5 linked regions of the Callithrix jacchus genome follow. The main gene of each other region encodes a partner of the protein of the gene in region 4 in a complex. Links are inferred from orthologs where the notes say so. Each region holds a gene or a part of one and is shown on either strand. Other genes may lie near its edges.

The links. The genes of interacting proteins can lie anywhere in the genome.
Region 1: CWC22 (region 4) and RNF113A share a complex: the UniProt entries of both Homo sapiens proteins name them as parts of the minor spliceosome. The link is inferred for Callithrix jacchus from reciprocal best matches to the Homo sapiens genes CWC22 and RNF113A.
Region 2: CWC22 (region 4) and CRIPT share a complex: the UniProt entries of both Homo sapiens proteins name them as parts of the minor spliceosome. The link is inferred for Callithrix jacchus from reciprocal best matches to the Homo sapiens genes CWC22 and CRIPT.
Region 3: CWC22 (region 4) and RBM48 share a complex: the UniProt entries of both Homo sapiens proteins name them as parts of the minor spliceosome. The link is inferred for Callithrix jacchus from reciprocal best matches to the Homo sapiens genes CWC22 and RBM48.
Region 5: CWC22 (region 4) and CRNKL1 share a complex: the UniProt entries of both Homo sapiens proteins name them as parts of the minor spliceosome. The link is inferred for Callithrix jacchus from reciprocal best matches to the Homo sapiens genes CWC22 and CRNKL1.

What each region holds. Positions count from the first base shown.
Region 1 is NC_133524.1:115,851,741-115,854,657, forward strand, and holds RNF113A (E3 ubiquitin-protein ligase RNF113A), read right to left. Parts: upstream 1,684-2,917; 5' UTR 1,583-1,683; coding exon 551-1,582; 3' UTR 501-550; downstream 1-500. Other genes in the region: NDUFA1 (NADH dehydrogenase [ubiquinone] 1 alpha subcomplex subunit 1), read left to right, coding at 1,881-1,982. UniProt on the Homo sapiens protein: Required for pre-mRNA splicing as component of the spliceosome. As a component of the minor spliceosome, involved in the splicing of U12-type introns in pre-mRNAs. E3 ubiquitin-protein ligase that catalyzes the transfer of ubiquitin onto target proteins.
Region 2 is NC_133515.1:68,132,468-68,136,586, reverse strand, and holds the start of CRIPT (cysteine-rich PDZ-binding protein), read left to right. Parts: upstream 1-1,319; 5' UTR 1,320-1,418; coding exon 1,419-1,434; intron 1,435-2,855; coding exon 2,856-2,921; intron 2,922-3,674; coding exon 3,675-3,729; intron 3,730-4,119. Other genes in the region: PIGF (GPI ethanolamine phosphate transferase, stabilizing subunit), read right to left, coding at 664-918. UniProt on the Homo sapiens protein: As a component of the minor spliceosome, involved in the splicing of U12-type introns in pre-mRNAs. Involved in the cytoskeletal anchoring of DLG4 in excitatory synapses.
Region 3 is NC_133512.1:57,090,155-57,094,207, reverse strand, and holds the start of RBM48 (RNA-binding protein 48), read left to right. Parts: upstream 1-1,253; 5' UTR 1,254-1,258; coding exon 1,259-1,369; intron 1,370-1,918; coding exon 1,919-2,109; intron 2,110-4,053. Other genes in the region: peroxisomal ATPase PEX1, read right to left, coding at 764-892. UniProt on the Homo sapiens protein: As a component of the minor spliceosome, involved in the splicing of U12-type introns in pre-mRNAs.
Region 4 is NC_133507.1:49,044,351-49,047,850, reverse strand, and holds part of CWC22 (pre-mRNA-splicing factor CWC22 homolog), read right to left. Parts: intron 3,248-3,500; coding exon 3,194-3,247; intron 1,366-3,193; coding exon 1,230-1,365; intron 1,137-1,229; coding exon 930-1,136; intron 845-929; coding exon 782-844; intron 1-781. UniProt on the Homo sapiens protein: Required for pre-mRNA splicing as component of the spliceosome. As a component of the minor spliceosome, involved in the splicing of U12-type introns in pre-mRNAs. Promotes exon-junction complex (EJC) assembly.
Region 5 is NC_133506.1:27,036,766-27,040,703, reverse strand, and holds the start of CRNKL1 (crooked neck-like protein 1), read left to right. Parts: upstream 1-1,138; 5' UTR 1,139-1,288; coding exon 1,289-1,339; intron 1,340-3,003; coding exon 3,004-3,156; intron 3,157-3,938. UniProt on the Homo sapiens protein: Involved in pre-mRNA splicing process. As a component of the minor spliceosome, involved in the splicing of U12-type introns in pre-mRNAs.

The sequences.
Region 1 (2,917 bases), on a different chromosome or scaffold from region 4:
ACATTTCAAGTGGTCAACAGCCACATGAGGCTAGTGTCTGTCTATCACACTGGATAGCAGAGCACAGATCACTTTTATCATCCATAGAAGGGGGGTTAACTATTGCTGCTTCCAAGACAGCAAGGAACATTTTCCATACGTGAAGTCTGTGGTACTAGCTACCAATCGCCCAAACCCAACCCCTCTCCCTCACACCTTGGCTCTGATATATTTTGTAGTACAGGCTCCTAAGAGAAAGAATGCATGAAAGTACCTGGTAAACATTACGTGATACAGAAATGTGATATAATAAACAGGCTCAGAGTTCTTGCTTTCATCATAGCTTTGGCTACTTCGAGCAAATTCTAGCTCTTTTCTCAAACTACTCCCATCTCTATAATTTATGCCAAAGTGTTCTAGGGCTAAAAATCCCGATTATACCTACCTTGAAGCTTTTAATCCAGGACCCTACTTCACCACCCGCCTTCTGTCACTTTCTCTAAAAGGACACGAATTAAGACTTCCAAAAGAACAAAATATTTATTTTTTAAATTTAAGAATTATGGGAAGCCTAAGTAATGGGAATTGGATCCTCATCGGGGTCTTCTGGGAAGTTGGAAGCACCACCCTCTCCTGTAGCACGATGCTTCTCTAGTTTAGCAATCAATTCTTTCGCTGGATTGAAGACGCCGTAGGTCTGCTGGTCACAGACAAAGCAGCGCGGGGTGGTACGGAAATGCTGCAGTGCACATCTCTCGCAGAAATAATGCCTGCACTTGGTGACAACTGGGTTTTGGAAGCTCTGGCGACAGATGAAACATTTGAATGGTATTTCCTCATCATCGCTTCCCACTTCATAGTTTTCATCCTCATAGACACCATAGCGACCCTCATCAAGCTCACGTTCGATCTGCCACCCATGCTTGTAATCTGAACGGTCATGGAGGAATTTGCAGCTGTCTCCGAAGCCGCAGAAGCCAGTCTCTTTGTAGTCCTTACAGATGTCGGGCTGGTAATCCCAGCGCACGGTGGCACGTAGATGCTCGGGCGCTCGGATGGGGCCCTTCCTCACCATCCCGGAAGAGGCATTGCCCATAGACGTATCCTTGGGCTTCATGTATTTCTGATAATTGTTGATTCCCCGATAGATCTTGTCATCCTCCTTGCCCCTCAGCTCCTCCTGGATCTTCTGGCTGCGCTCAAAGATGGCTTGTGCATCGCGCTCTTTCTCTGTGTCCAGCTCATAGACGGCTGTTGCCCCCATATCCTCTGGTCCCACGGGTTTCGCCGAGCGGGTGGATTTATAAACCACGCCGAGACTCTCGGGCTCATTTTCCACCTCCTCCTCGCTGCTCAAGTTGCCGTAAGCCGCCTTCTGTCTACCACTGTCACGGGTCTTCTGTATCATTGGATTGTGGGTCGTCCGCTTCTTTTCCGGTCGAATCACAGTGCAGCCTTCGTCGCTACTGCTGCTGCTTTCTCCAGGCTCTGGGTCGCAGGCCGGGCGCTTTCTGCGTCCAGCAGCCCCTTTCCGCCCAGGCTTTTTGAAAAGGAAGGTGCACACCTGATCCGCCGTTTTTCCTGGAGAAAGCTGCTCGGCCATTTTAGAGTCCCGAGCTCCGAAACGGCCGTGGCTGCCTGGGTAGCACTTGGCCTCCGCGCGTCACTCCACGTTGCGCGCTCCGCCGCTAGTCAAAGCAAAAGACTGTGGCGGAAGAAGACTGCGAGAACGCGAACGCTAGCCTCTCTTGAGCCCTGGAGGATTCCGTCGCTTCCTCCGGAGCCGTACGTGGCACCGCCCCGCTCGCTGGCGGCCGCGGGGCTTACTGGGAAGAGAGCCGGAGATCCGTCACCTTTCAAGGACTCAGAAGTAGGGTTTTGGTCTAGGTAACCGGGCAGAGATGTGGTTCGAGATACTCCCCGGACTCGCCGCCATGGGCGTGTGCTTGCTTATTCCAGGACTGTCTACTGCGTACATCCACAAGTTCACTAACGGCGGCAAGGTAAGGGGGCTTGAGGGCGCGGGGGCCGACTCCACGGGCTGATTTCCGAAAAGGGTGGGGGGCAGGGAGGCATCAGCTTGCGGACCCTCTCTCCGAGGTCGGCCTTCTCCTTTCTTAGGGTTGCCTAGAAGCTGAGGCTTGCGAAACGAAGGTTGGTAGAAAACACATCCTGCTCTAGTGAAAACCAGCGTTTTAGGGTGGATCAGAGTGGGCCTTAGGGCAGAGTAGCGACTCGGGGCCCGGAAAGGTAGATTAGAAGAGGTGGCTTAAGTCTGTAATCCAGCACTTTGCGAGGCCGAGGCGGGCGGATTACCTGAAGTCGGGAGATCAAGACCAGCCTGACCAACATGGTGAAACCCCGTCTCTACTAAAAATACAAAATCAGCCGGGTGTGGTGGCGCATGCCTGTAATCCTAGTTATTTGGGAGGCTGAGGCAGGAGAATTGCTTGAACCCGGGAGGTGGAGGTGGAGGTGAGCCGAGATCGCACCATTGCACTCCAGCCTGGGCAACAGTCACGAAACTCGTTTCGAAAAAAAAAAACCAGAGGTTCTCCTGCCTCAGCCTCCCGAGTAGCTGGGACTACAGGCGGGTGCCACCACGCCCGGCTAATTTTTATTTTTGTTTGTATTTTTAGTAGAGACGGGGTTTCATCATGTTGGCGAGGCTGGTCTCGAACTCCTGACCTCAGGTGATCCACCCATCATGACCTCCCAAAGTGCTGGGATTACAGATGTGAGCTCCTGGCCACCCATAACTTTTTTATTCTCCACTTTTTGTTGCAAGCCTTTAATAATTTACTGCAAGATCTTATTTTATTTTTATTATTTTATCTTTTTGTAGAGATGGGGTTTCTCCATGTTGGTCAGGCTGGTCTTGAACTCCTGACATCAGGGGATCTGCCTGCCTTGGCCTCCCAAAGTGCTGGGATTACAG
Region 2 (4,119 bases), on a different chromosome or scaffold from region 4:
TTTTCCATTGTCCAAAATGTTTCAACCCCTACAAATAAGTCATAAAGTCAATTTCCTATGGGCAATGTATTTGTTTCAAAACACCTGGACCTTATAATAGGTGAAGGGGAGAAAGGCAGCAAATCACACTGCCACGTGTGTACCTATGCAACAATCTTGCATGTTCTTCACATGTACCCCAAAACCTAAAATGCAATTTAAAAAATTGCTCTCACTTAATTCACCCAATGCTTTTCAAAGGCAGATACTTTACTGATAAGGAAACACGACAAACAGGTAAGGAGGTCCAAGTTCTCAAGAGCTACAGCCCTCTCTCTGGTACAACGAAATAAAGGGATGGAGAAGGAAACGGATGGCAAGAAGGGACAAAGGGAAAGTTTCCTATAGATTCTATCTTAAGCTGATTGAGGGAGGGCAATCATCAGGAATCCATCCTCACAACAAACCCTTCATCCATTTTTCTGAGCCACCCTCGGAATCGCAGCTGCCAACAGGAGATGCTCCTACAATAAGCAGGAACCAAACTCAAATGTTTGCTGAACGAATGAAGGAACCAGAGTATGTAAAGTGGGAAACTAACTCTCCTGGGAAACCCACACCGTGTTAGGCCCTGGCGTGCCCCCAGGACACCTACAAGGGTGCCACGGGTATGACCTGGCCCACCTCGCTAGGCACCGCAGCAGAGAGACGGCGCTTCCGAGCGGCCCCCAGAGGAGCCCTCGCGGGCATCGCCGCACCTTCACTGGCAGCCCCACCCCAACCTGGGTCGCTCGGGATTCTGCCCGAGCCTAGGCCGGCGCGAGCGTCGACAGCCAGGAACCAGCAGAGAGGCAGGATCAAAGAGCACGGGAGTTGGAGACAAGGGAAAACTGGGGGACAGAGGCAGAAACTCGGATCCGAAAGGGGGGGTCTGTCCATCAGAGCACGCCGGAAGAGTGGCGCTCGAGCTGAGGGCGAGAGCGGGCGGGCCGGGACGCCAAGGCTCACGGCTGCTACGGCAGTTCGCGGGGGTGGCTTGCACCCCGGGGGGCGAGATCGCCGGGGGCGTACATTGGGGCTTACCTAACTCTCCCACCCGCGGAAGGGAAGCGGGGAACTACTGCCTCCTACCATCAGGTACGACGTGCTACCCAGGCCCACCCGCAAGCGCAGGGTTAAGGGGCGGAGATCCAGGGCCGCATAGCCAGTAGCAGAAAGAGAGGGGCGGGCAGATGGGGCAGCCCCGCCTAGACGCTCCCGTTCATTCCTCCCGCGGCCTTCCAAGTTTGGGCTAGACCGGAGCGGCGTGCTTAGAAGCCGGAAGTGGGTTGACGTAGCCCGGAAGGGGAAGCCGTCCGGGTTTTAGTTTTGATGTTTTCGGGCTGCTGTTGCTGCTGCTGCTGCTGCTGTTGCGGCTAGGGGAACCGTCGTGGGGAAGGATGGTCTGCGAAAAATGTGAGTTAAGGGGCTCCTCCTGCGGGAGGAAGAAACTGGGGGAACCTAAATGAACTCTCCCGGGAACTCTGCCTTCTCTTTTGTTTTTTCTTCGCCCACATCTTTGATTCTAGTCGCTGTCCTTCTGCTCTACCCTTTGACCATTTTTGCACCTCCCCAAAGACCATATAGTCCTATAGTATATTTTGTTTTCAGAATGGTCTTAGTTCTGCATCTCCTTGTCTATTTCCATTGCCTTCCCCCAGCTCCAGATCTCATCAGCTCCCCTCCCGTATAAAAATGTTCAGTTAAACCCCAATCACACCTTTCCCTCTTGCAATTCCTGACCTTTCCTTTTTATTCATGTAACACACTAGAACCAAAGACCAAGGACCTCGTCTTACTCATTCCTGTTAGTCATTATGCCAGAATATGGCTTAGAGTAAGCCCAGAAGATGTGTGAATTGAACATCAACGCAAGTGCAAGTTACTATTTCCCTAATTTAACACCTTTAATAAATTCTCAGTGTGCAGAGAACAATGTGGGGATTCTGTATTTGGAGCCTGACGTTCAGGACCCTCCGCAATAAGGCCCCAACTTATTTTTCCAGCTTCATCTTCACTGATCCTTACCCTCTTCACACTTTGACCAAACGTAACTACCCTTTGTGCCCATGTGTACTCGGAGCTTTCCATGCCTTTCCTCAGAATGTGTCCTTTATCAGTCTGCCTTTATCCTCTTTACTCCTTTTTGTTCACAGTCCTATTGCCACATATTCAAATCCTCTCTCTTGCCTTCTCCCCAAACTTTCTTGGATTTCCTTAGCCAGGGTTATATCTTCCTGCATGGAATTTCACCTAGTACTTTAGCTCTCAATTATTACACCGTTTAATTTTTAGCTTATATTTTGGTTGAATGATTCTCAGGTTCTCTCTGAGAATCTGAAGAAAGCTATAGACTCTTGCCAGGAAAGAAAAAAAAAAGATATATAAAAGGTTTGTGTACAATTCTGCCTTGTTCACATATCTCTTAAGATCGACCTGTGGAACATAGATTAAAGATTGCTGTTAAACTACTGTACTATAATCTCTTTAAAATTTTGTCTGATTCATCACTTATTTTTTTCAGTAATTTGTATAGTTTATACATCATAGATGCTTAGTAAATATGTATGGAACAAATAGACTTGCCAGATTTGTTTAAAGTATAAACAAACAGAGAAAGCTTATTATAAGCCATCTTATTATCCTACGGATTTTACTGTGGATCAGTCATTCATTGCCCACAGTTAATACAAGTCTCAGTTCACTGACTGCTCTCCCAGCATTAACAGGCTCCTGCAGTAATAGGACTGTTGATACCATTGTGAACCTTAGGCACAATGTGATGCACTTATGAAATACTAAATTTTAAATTGCTTTTTACTATCTTATTATAACAGGTGAAAAGAAACTTGGTACTGTTATCACTCCAGATACATGGAAAGATGGTGCTAGGAATACCACAGGTATTTCTTCTTTTAGAAAATAGGAATTTAACCAGAGACTCCTGTGAATATTTTATCTTTTACGTTATTTGTAAAATGAAATGTGTTCAAAGTATTTTGTCTATTAAACATGAAAGAATCCTGGGTCCCCAAGTTATTTAATATCTTCTACTTAGTTCTGTTACTTGTACAGGTTCCTAACATCAGGAGATAGCAAAATTATTAAATGATTGTCAAGTGGTGACAGTATCATAATATTTGATTTGATTCAGCTTATTTAGAGACTGCATTTAATTTCTCCGCTCTTCTGAGGAGAAATTTTTTTAAATCTGGTTTTTATATTCTTGAATAAATCCTTTAACCCATTTTACCTTCATTATCATTAATTACTTACAGTGAAGTATTTACCTTCATTATCATTAAATACATAAAGTATGTTTTCGAAGGGAAAGAAAAGAAACATAGACATTCAAGGTCTATGACACTGAAGTAGTGGGTTCTAGATTTTACAGTATATCAAGTAAATATAGACCCATTCCTAAGGTACTACCTTGAGTCTGAAAAATAAAATGATTGTATTTTATACAAATTTTTATTGTTTCTCTAATAAATGTTTTCTTTTTAAGCAGCGTCTTAATAACCTGACTGTTAAATGAAGATTTAAAAATTAGATATAGGCTACTAGTTTGGCAGAAAGTCAGAGAATGAACTTCTTAATGTTATATGTTAAATGTATAGAAGTAACCCTTTAAAATAACTTCTATTTTGATACAGAAAGTGGTGGAAGAAAGCTGAATGAAAATAAAGCTTTGACTTCAAAAAAAGCAAGGTGGGTAAGAGGATCCATAGAGAAGTCATATAATTTTCACTCTTTTAATGTTAAGCCTACTGGAGTGAATTTGATGTGCATCATTCCAATTGCAATAAAACATAGAGTTAGGTGGTTCCTGGCACTCAGAACCAAGCTATTTGTTATAACCTGCTGGTTTTACCTTATTCCTCCTTACTGTATGTCCCCCTCTGACTTCATATTGTACCATACTCCTCCTCATTCATCATATGCCATCCTCATTGGTTCTGCCAAGCCTCCCCCATCCAAAGAGATTTGTCCTTGCTGCTGTGTCCTCGAGGTCTTTACTGAGAGCTTACGTATCTGGCTCCTTGGTGTTTGGGTCTCAGCTGAAGGGTCTTTTCTCGGAGAGGTTTCCCTAATCAGCCT
Region 3 (4,053 bases), on a different chromosome or scaffold from region 4:
CTTTGGGTCTACTCTCCTTTCCTCTTGGCTAACCTTACAATGAGAACTTCAAATACGCTATCCTTTTGCCCCCATAAGCACACTCAAATTCTTGAGACCATGTGCCTCTATTTTTAATTATGAAAGTAGGGACGCTGTATCTCCACCAGTGGTTACAACTGTGAAACTTCCCTACCACAACGTCCAGAAAGGCGACTGATCTCAGAGCTTCAAGTGATCCTAACTACGTTACGTGTTCCTAACACACCACAGCTGTGTTCCGAGGGTCAGCGACGCCGCGCAAAACCATCATTGTATTAATCTTTCCCGCTTATGGGACGCGGTGGTCAGTCCCCGGGAATCTACCCGGGCTCAGCCAACAATTCTCCGCCTCCCTCTCGCGGCCGGGACGGCAGCAGCGCAGGTAACTGGAAATGACTGGCAAGAAAAACACCTTTTAAAATAACAAAAACAAACGACTTCTCAGGAGATATTCCAACCTGGAATAAGGAATATTTCTAAAAACAATGGTAGAATGTTAGAATGTTTCTAGGCTCAGTTTCACCAAGTGAAAAGACCTGGGATAAGACAAGCCCAGGGCTGCCCAGGACTTGTGGGACGCAAAGACTACTCAGAGGGGCCCTGTCCTCGAGGGACCCTTCGTCTGACCTCTGCGCGCTTCGGCGGCGCCCGAAAGGCAGCAGGCATCCCGCCGCCTCCCAGAGAGGTTTCGGCCTAGTCCGACCCCAGGCTGAACAGCAGGTGGCCGGAGCCGGCACGTTACCTGCAGCAGGTGCAGCTGGGCCACGAGACGCCGCGGCAGGTGGAGGAAGCAGTCGCGAGCGTTGGTGAAGACCACAGTCACTGCCGTCCCGCCTCGCCCAGCATCCGCCAGGAGATCGCTGCCCCACATCGTCCTTACGCGTCGCTCCGGGTTCGCCCCACCCCAGCGCCGCAGCGGACCCGGGACCTGGCAGGCCAAGGGCGTCGGAGCCGGAGGAGATAGATCGGCCCCGCCCCCTCTGACCGCTGCGCCTCTCGTCGCAAGCCTGTATTAGGTGGAACAAGCGAGCTTCTGCCACTCACCGCGCCTCTCCGCGGTGCCGCTCGCGGGGGCGGCAACTCGTTCATCAAATCCTCTCACGCAGGAAACGATGGCCGACGCTGTCGATTCTCCAGCCAATCGTGGGACTCCTTGACTCATCTCGCTCTCTTATTGGGGAAAAGGGAGCTCAGCAGGGCGGATGTTGTCCTCCCTGCGAGGATCAAAGCAGGCAAGATGGCGTCGAGCGGTGGGGAGTTAGGGAATGTATTTGACCACCACGTCCAGCGGGCGGTATGCGACACGCGGGCCAAATATCGGGAGGGACGACGGCCTCGTGCTGTCAAGGTAAAGTGATTTTGGTTTCATTCGCTCTCTTCGGTAGCTTTATATGAGTGCTAGCGCCATATAGCCAGTCTACAGAAATAAGGGCAGGACAAGGCTGCTGTCAGATCCCTCTCTCTTTAGAGCTAGCGTGAAGAACCTTGCTTGGGTCAGTTATCAAAGATTCTCACGATCCTTTTGGTCAACTATTAGAACAGCACCTCCACGAGAGTAAGGCTTGGTTTTAGTCATTGGATCTTCTGTATTTACAGTACTACTTGGCACAAGGTAAGCGCTCAGTGAATACTCGTTGAGTGATTGTTCCCGGTGAATTCTACCGACTCAATTTCTGGAAAAAAATGTCGACTGAAGGTAGTCTGTTATATGCCTTTGTTAGGTACCCTCTCACATGGGCTGTTACTCTTTATGCAGAGGGAATGAGAGACATTTTATTTTGTGTTTGGGTTGAACAGATTATTTCTTGTTTTGAAAGCGCTGTTTAAAAAAAAATAGAGGCAGATTCGTCCTAGGTTTATTTGCGAGATACATTTAACGACTCTGCATTTCTTTCAGGTATATACAATCAATTTGGAATCTCAGTACTTACTAATACAAGGAGTTCCTGCTGTGGGAGCCATGAAAGAATTAGTTGAGCGATTCGCTTTATATGGTCCAATTGAACAGTATAATGCTCTAGATGAATACCCGGCAGAAGACTTTACTGAAGTTTATCTTATTAAATTTGTGAACTTACAAAGTGCAAGGTAATGTGCAAGTTAAGCAGTGACTCATTTTCTCCATTCATATTTCTATCATTTTGGGCCCAAGTTTCCCTCATTCATACCTCATTCAATGTAATCTAGCCTATATTCCACTTATTTTCCTCTAGCCTTTTTAAAGGTATACTTTACTTGAAGCACTGTTCCCATCACATCATTCCCATGCTTAACAATTTAATGTCCTGTGGTGTGGTAGATTAAAAGTTGGGTTTGAAGTTAGGACACGGTGGCTCTCGCCTGTAATCCCACCACTTTGGGAGACTGAGGCAGGCAGATCACTTGATGTCGACAGTTCAAGACCAACCTGGCCAACATGACAGAAACCCCAGCTCTACTAAAAGTACAAAAATTAGCTGGGCGTGGTGGTTGGGACCTGTAGTCCCAGCTACTCAGGTGGCTGAGGCATGGGAATCACTTGAACCTGGGAGGTGGAGGATTGCAGTGAGCCAAGATCATGCCACAGGACTCCAGCTTAGAGTCCAAAAAGGCTGAAGTATGCAATGCCTTATCTATTTTTATGTTATAAAGCGAGGCTCTCAAAAAAAAAAAAAAAAAAAAAAGATGGGTTTGAGGCCAGGCACATGGCTCACACCTATAATCCCAGCACTTTGGGAGGTCGAGATAGGGGGATCACCTGAGGTCAGGAGTTCAAGCCCAGCCTGAGCAACATGGTGAAACCCTGACTCTACTAAATACAAAATTAGCCAAGTGTGGTTGCACAAGCCTGTGCTACTGGGAAGATTGAGGCACAAGGATCACTTGAAACCAGGAAGTGGAGGTTGTGGTGACCTGAGATCACACCACTGCACTCCAGTCTGGGCAAGAGTGAGACTGTCTCAAAAAAAAAAAAAAAAAGTTGAATTTGATCCCAGCACTTTGGAAGACCAAGGTGGACAGATTGCTTGAGCCCAGTTCAAGACCAGACTGGCCAACATGGTGAAACGCTGCCTCTACGAAAAATACAAAAATCAAGCTGAGCATGCCTGTAGTCCCAGCTACTTGGGAGGTTGAGGTGGGAGAATCAGTTGAGCCCAGGAGGCATAGGTTGCAGTGAGTTGTTTATGGGCCACTACACTTTAGCCTGGGGGACAGAGTGAGACACTGTCTCAAAAAAATAAAACAAAAAGTTGGGCTTGGAGTAAGTTTTCCAGTCCAACTGCTTACTAGCTTCATGACCTTGGACAAGTTATTTAACCAGGTTAAACCTGTTTTTCCTCTTCCATAAAATCTATATGCTAAAGGGACCTTCTTGAGGTAGTATGCTGATGAAATGAGATGATCCATATAAAGGGTTTAGCATAGTCCCTCCTGGTCAGAATACAGTAAGCATTAGCTATTGTCACTCCTTTCTGCGAATTGACTCAGTTTTTTCCAGCCTTCTATCTGATATAAGCCCTCTGCTCAAAAAAAGCTGAAGTATGCAATGCCTTATTTGAATCCTTGCTCCTCAAACGAGAGTATGAGCATGGCTAAGTTATATAATGTCCTAGTGCTTCACTTTCATTATACAGTTGTGAGGTATTAATTCAAGGGAAGCACTTATGACATTGCTTGGCATATGATAAAATCTCAACAAGTATTAATATTATCCCTGGATATAGGAGTAGTTAAATTTATTTATTGTAGTACTTGGCATATCATAGATGTTTAGTAAGTATTGACTGAATAACATTTTTATTTTCTCATTGTTATATATTTAGTATTTCCTCAGTTATTGAAGGTATTATGATTATAGTATTTTTCATCTGATTTTTAAGGCATAAATCCCATTACAGAAATACATTGTGCTGAAAAAGCTTAATTGGATATGAACTAACTCTTCAGGGCCACAGAAAAGCTCTATTTTATGACCAGAGTTTACATACCTCAGGCCAACCAGCTGGGTCCTTAGTTGCTTAAAGACTAGGGAACAAATCCAAGAGGTTTAAA
Region 4 (3,500 bases):
TTCACAGCATTAAATACTTCTCCAGTAAATTACAATTCAAGAGAAATAAGCCCATAAAATTATTATGAAAGTAGGCCAGAGTGTCAGCTTTAGGAGGAAACTAATGCAAATGTGAAAATTATAACATTAATTAATAACAGCTATCATTGTCTGTGATAATACACAACAATGTATTGTATATATCCTTCTATAGAAAGGTAACATTTAGTCTTCCATCAAATAAGTAACTTGCTACAGGTCACTCAGCTAGTAATGTCAAAGACAAATTACAAATCAAAACCTGTCCAAAATTAGCGCTTACCATATATAGCAATGATGTACAAATGCAAGTGATTAATTTATCAGGCACCAATACTATGATTCACCTTACTACAAGGATATCAACCTGACATTAAGAAACAATGTAAGTATAGCACTTTACAGGAAAGTATACCACTTAATTGAATATTAAACTGGGTGGCAAAGACAGTAAGTGGTACAGAAGTTAAATAAAGGTCACTACTAACCTATGAATATTTCTTAAGATGGGTGAGACTTAAGGGTTTAGAGGGGAAGAAGAGAGGAACAATGGGGTAAATAATTCAGAATGAAGTAAAAAACCATGGGCAAGTACCAGGAAAAATAAAATGCCCAAGGAAACAGCTAAGAGAATAACTTTACAAGAGCAGAGATTTCATTAGGTGGGGATCACTGATCTCTAAATATTTCCTATCATTATTATGTAACTACTTAAATTGCTTTTACTTATCCAAAAGAAATTATTTTATAAAATTCTACATACCTTTCTTAATAGCTTTGTACTTCTCTTCATTCTCCATAAAATTAGGATCCATCTTGAAAACATCTTAAAAAAAAATTAAAAGTTAATGTTTATTTTCTGTTTACATTTCTTGGTGCTCCACTTTCTACCTACCATGCCCCAGACTTACTAAGAACATCTTCCGGATTATAGTCATCCTCCAAAGGGAGCATATGGGTGAATTGATCATCTTCTTCCACCAAATCAAGACCTTCTAGGATAATGGGGTGGTCCTTGAATCCATCTTTCCGTACAGCAAACATCACTTCAATCATATATTGAACTCTTTTGTCAATTTCAGACTCATGCAGAATATTTCGAAGGCGTTCAAATATAGCTAAAGGTAAACAAAGAAAAGACAATAAAATAAGCAGTAAATATTATAATACTCAAACAAAAACTTAACATCAAACTAAGAATGTACTCTTACCATTGATTCCTCTTGGTGACACTTGTGTTAATTTGAGGCCACATTCCTTGAGAAAACCAATAGCTACTTCAACACTATCATCTGTTGGTATTTCCAAGAGCAAAGTGAGCATCTCTAAGCACAAAACTTCGTGTGCCTTAAATAGAATACGTATATATGAAAGAAAAAAAATGCTTTTACATACATTAAAATATTGTTTATAATTTCTAAAAATTAGTAAATCTTGTTTAAAATAATTATATTGCACATATGACAGGCAAAGTTGTATACAGCAAATAGAAATACTACAAACATGGATAGAATTTTTCTATTACTTTTATTATCAATCTATTAAAAATTTTCAGACTGTTCCAATAATCTTAATTTTTTTATGCTGAACACAACTATCTGAATTATCTTCAGAAGAAATATTCTGACCCATTCTGTATGGAAAGTGTCATAGATGAAATATGTTAAAATCATATACTACTTTCTAATAAGAATTATTTTCATAATTACTATATAATAGTAATATGATTTATAATACCCTTCTACATGAGTACACTTCTTTGTATACATTTCCCAATTCATTCTATCAGCAACTCTATTAGACACAAAGAGTCCTTCATTTACATGAATACTAATTTTGTCACAAAATATCTTAATAACTTCCAGAACACAACAGTTTGGAATATTCTATCTTTTAAAAAAAAATAATAAATCAAACTATTTCCACCGGCCACATTAAAAAACTGACATTTATAAACAATGGCAGGAAGAGTGGGAATAAAATTCTACTGAGAAACTTTGGTATGAGAAGAAAAAGAACTACAAAGGATGTTTACAACACCATACATATGCCTTTCTAAAGTCAGATGGTGATTTGAAATGGGGAGGAAAGAAGTCTAAATCTCAACTCAGGAGTCTATCTTCTTCCAATTGTGCACATCAAAGACATCCATTGCTTCTTTTTATAAGGGGAGGAGGGGTGTCAAACAGTCTTACATCAGTGACAAGAAAAAAACTGCCCTGTACCAGAGTTGGGAAGATGCAAAAAATTTGTCATATTGAGTGTTTTATGACAAAACCAAAAATCTCTAGTCCAAGCGTAATACACAATTAAAAATGAAAATATATCTCTGTGGTTATAGATGTGAAATTAAGTTTCCATGGTCTTAAGTAGCAAGTTATCATTGTAATAATACAATGACTAATTAGGTTAGAATTGAGAAGATTTTCAAGAGTGAAAGAATTTTCACATAAATAAGAACCACAACATTTAATGTTAGTGAAATAAGATTAAGTGTGACTTAAAAATTCTTCCTGTTATAAGTGTGACTATAAAATTCTTCCTGTTATACATGATATTAAATTGCAAATGATAATATATAACTGAAGGAAACTTCTGAGTGCAAGAACAATTTTACCACTTTAAAGGTTAAACAGAAACTAAATCAAAACCATCAAATAATGTGTGAATATAAAATAAACACAAATAGAATAATAGCATGATAAAATTGTCTGCATTTGAAACAGATTAAAATTGATCAACTATATTCTATAAAGTGATTCTAAAAATATATGACTATTCCTATGTGGTTGCAAAGAATAGAGGCTTTTGTAGAATGTTAGATATTTATTAGGTTCTCATGAATACCAGGTATAGGGAATGAAGTGGAGGAGACACCAACTTTATTATTTTATAAAAATGGAATAGTTTTTCAAAGGAATGGTTTGTAGTCAAGTAACCATGTACAGTATTAAGTCAGATTAATTTGATAAAATAGCTAAAAGTGCTTTGATTAACAACAAAGTGTTATGTTAAAGAACATGAAATACATTATACTTTTAAAATGAAAATATCATCCAACATACTTATCCCAAAAACTATAAAGTAAAACAAAAATAGAGTTATCAGTGGAGTGGCATCAACCCTGTGGTCTAATGCCACTGAATGGGACAAAGTTTTGAGGATAATTACCTACCACATTTTGGTTAATAAGATGTGCCACAAATTTTGAAGCAGTCAGACAAAGTTGCTGAAAAATGAAGGTAAAGAGAAAGTTAATCCATAAATTAAACCTGATATTCATTTGTTTATAGAATCTATGGCCTAAACATAATCTATTTAAAACATGTAATACAAAAGTATAATTTTTATATTATAAGAAAATTATAAGATAAAATAACACATGAAAGACTATCACTTTTGGTTAGTTATAATTCTACAGTTTAGCCATCATTTTTGTGGCTCATGATTAGTGGTCAGGTATATTTAACAGAACAGAAGAA
Region 5 (3,938 bases), on a different chromosome or scaffold from region 4:
ATATAATCTGCATTATGTATCACTACATCCGTAAATATATATTTTGGCCAAACACCAAAAAGAGCCTTTTGCAACTGTGGAAATTATCCTAACAAATGTGCTGCCAAGTCATGTCATTATACATTTGTCCAAACTCATAGAATATACAACATCAAGAGTAAACCCTAACATAAACTACAAACTTTGAATGATAATGATGTGCCAGTGTAGGTTAATGGTTGTAACAAATGTACCTCTCCGGAGGAGAATGTCATTCAGAGTAGGAGGCTGTTGGAGGGGGAAGGAAGTACAATTACTGACAGTAGGAAGCTGTTGGAGGGGGGAAACCTCTGTACCTTCTACTCAATTTTGCTGTGAACCTAAAACTTCTCTAAAAGTTGTCTATTAAAAAAAATTATCTTAACCTTGGCTTAATTTTTAAGTTTTTGAGGGTAGGTTATTATAATAGCTAACGTTTAATGAGCACTTATCTTTAATCCTAGTGAAACAGATGTTACTATCCTTGTTTTATAGTTGAGGACATTGAGGCTAAGAAAATGTAATTAAGGCACACACAGAATTTAAACATGCTTCTTATCTCAAGACTGAGTTGTTTTCCAGTTACTCTATGTATTTTCATTTTTTTCCTAATATCTGACTTCGAAATATCTTACGTTATTTTTAATTCCAAACCTTAGAGTCAATTATTAGGGCACCTTAGAGTTCATTATTTGGACATAACTATCCAGAAACCAGAAACGAGGGGGCGTGGACCCCACAGACTACAAGCCCTAAAATGAAATGAAGCGCCAGAAAGCCTAAAGGGCGGCAGCTCGCCCCTTGGCATGCTGGGGATGTAGTTTTCTCGCTCTCCCTTCTTCCCCGCCCTCGAGCACCCAGATTGGAGCTTCGTTCCTACTCCCTTGCAGGGCGCCACGGCTCGAAAGAGCCACTAGTCCTCGCCTGGTCATCCCAGTTCCGGAGGCTGACCTGGGGATGCGCCCTTGACGCCCTGAACCGCAGGACCTGCGTCGCTGCCAGGCAGGCCGGCGCTACGAACCTCACTCGCAGCTCCAGGACGCCGCACTCTACGCGCTGCTGCAGGAGTACGCGCAGCCTGGTCACCGTGGAAACGGAGCCGCTCCGTCACGGCGCATGCGAGAGGTCAAAAGTCATCCTAGTGAGTTCCGCTTCCGGTTCCGGGATCTTGTTTGTTGTCAGAAAAGATTCGTGGTTTCGGTGAGCTCTCAGAGTAGATTTCTAGCGTCCGTGCGTGGGGCCAGGTGTCCCGAGGTCCGCTGCTGCAGACATGGCGGCCTCTACTGCGGCCGGGAAACAGCGGATTCCCAAAGTGGCCAAGGTAGGGGATCGCGACGGGCCTTGTGGCAGGTGGCCTAGGAGAGGGGCTTGCCTTAGCCCTGGGGATGCCCCGGGCGGAAGAGAGTGTTCCTACCGGGGAGAAGGCTCACCCTGAGAGATGGAGACGAAGGATCCGCTGGTGGTGGGGCGTGGGCTCTTGTCATAGCGGAGCGCGACCTGCGTTGGCGTGGCCTTCGTTCTGGGGTGTTTGTGCAGTTGGGAGGAGTGGGGTGGATCAGTGAAGACTTATTGCGCCAAGCACTGCACTGGGCGCTGGGGAGCTACGCTCGGACGCGAAGCACAACAATACCCAAAACACGAGCTTGTGTATAAAGACGACCTTGCTAGATGTTGCTGATGCAAAGTAGAATATGCCATGGGCGTGAATAAGTGGGGCGTATGAGGGGGTCCTGAAAGTAAGTTTTGCAGAGGAAATGACCTTTAAGCTGAGACTTGAAGGCGGAATAGGAGTTAGCCCAGCTGACAGCGGAAGGCGAGAGTAGACGGAGTTGTATGGTATCATAAGTTCATTAAAGGGTAGGTTCACTATCTGGTGTTTCCCTCGATAGCTGATACTTACCAAGTGCTTAACATGGGGCAGGCTTTCTCTCAAGCCTTCACAGATACCCTCCCTCAAGTCTTTCTTGAGCCCAGATGACTCTGTTGAACTGGACCTTTACATAACCATTTATCTGACTCGCAGAGGTAATGCATATAGAGCAAGTAACACTGTGTCTGGCACTTAGTGCTTATTAAATATGAGCTATCACCATTATCATCATTACTTCACACGTGGCATTAAGTCTTTTATAATTCAATTACATAAACTTTTATTGGGCATCACTGCTCCAATGGAAATATAATGCACGCCACATATCTCATATCTACATTAAAAAGTAAAAAACAAAAAAGGTGATATTAGTTTTAATCATAGATATTTTATTTGGCCTAATGTATCCAAAATATTATTTCAATATTAATCAGTATAAAAAAATGTAATGAGGTAGTTTATTCTTTTTTTCATACTCCATCTTCAAAACCAGAGTGTATTTTACATCTACAGTCCACCCCATTTTGTACTAACCACATGTGACTCACAGCTACTGTGCTGGGCAGCACAGCTCTAAGCTACATTAGACTGTAAGCTTCTAAGACCTCAGGAAGCTTACAGTCTAATGATGGGAAGTTATTGAATTTTGCCTTGGACTTGAAGTGCCATGAAAAACCAAACTCAATTACCCACCAGGGGCATTAGCTAAGTTGAAGAATTCTGTAAATGCAGGTTGTAATGCTGTTAATAAGATGTGGTACACATCTTGATAAAACAAAACCTCTGGTCAGAATTTTACCTAGACTGCCTCAAAGTTTATTATTATACTCATCTAAAAGAGAAAGCTCGCTATTGTTTTTGCGACCTTTTTCAGTTGAGACTTTTGCCTATGGCTTTGTAGTAGACACCATGAATAACAAGGAAAACATAGTATTTTTTTCTTTTCTGTCTCATGGAGGAATGGGAACATGTCATACAAAGAGGGTATCTTGTGATAATACTAATGAAGTTCACATCCTAAAACAATGTATCCTAAAGGATGTAACATAAAACTGGTTTCTTAAACCCGTGTGAAGAGCATCTGCTAAAAATAGAAATGTTTTCTTTCTTAAAAGGTGAAAAACAAAGCCCCAGCTGAGGTACAGATAACTGCTGAACAGCTCTTAAGAGAGGCTAAAGAAAGAGAACTTGAGCTTCTTCCACCTCCACCTCAACAAAAGATCACAGATGAAGAAGAATTAAATGATTATAAACTAAGGAAAAGGAAGGTCAGTCGGTGTGATATCTTTCAGTCCACTAATTGTTAAGAAAGTATTGGTAGGCTGGGCATGGTGTTGCACGCCTGTAGTCCCAGCTACTTGGGAGGCTTAGGCAGGAGAATCATTTGAACCCGGGAGGTGGTGGTTGCAGTGAGCTGAGAACACGCCACTGCACTCCAGCCTGGTAACAGACCAAGACTCCGTCTCCAAAAAAAAGAATTTCTGTAGGGCAAGATGAGGCTAGTGTTTATAGCACATGAATAATGTACTTCTGGTTACCAGATAACAGCATTTTTCTGAACTATACAAAATATGCTATGAATTGTCTGGTTAAAGTACAAAGAAATTGAATCTGCATAATTTTTGGTGCTGAATCAAACATGGGTGGAAGTTTAGCAGGTGGAACAACTGGAACCAGCAGAGGGTATGCTTAGTAAAACTGCACTGTTGTGTACTTCTGCCTATACCACCTTCTGTGTTAAGAATTGAGATCTGGCTAGGCATGGTGGCTCACACCTGTAATCCCAGGACTTTGTGAGGCCAAAGTCCTGGCCTCAGCGGACAACCTGAGGTCAGGAGTTGGAGACCAGCCTAGTCAACATGGTAGAACCCCATCTCTACCAAAATTACAAAAAAATTTAGCCAGTTATGATGGCAGATGCCTGTAATCCCAGCTACTCAGGAGGCTGAGATATGAGAATCACTGAAACCTGCGAGGCAGAGGCTGCAGTGAGATTAAATCACACCACTGCACTCCAGCCTGCGCGACAGAGAGAGACTTCATCACAAAA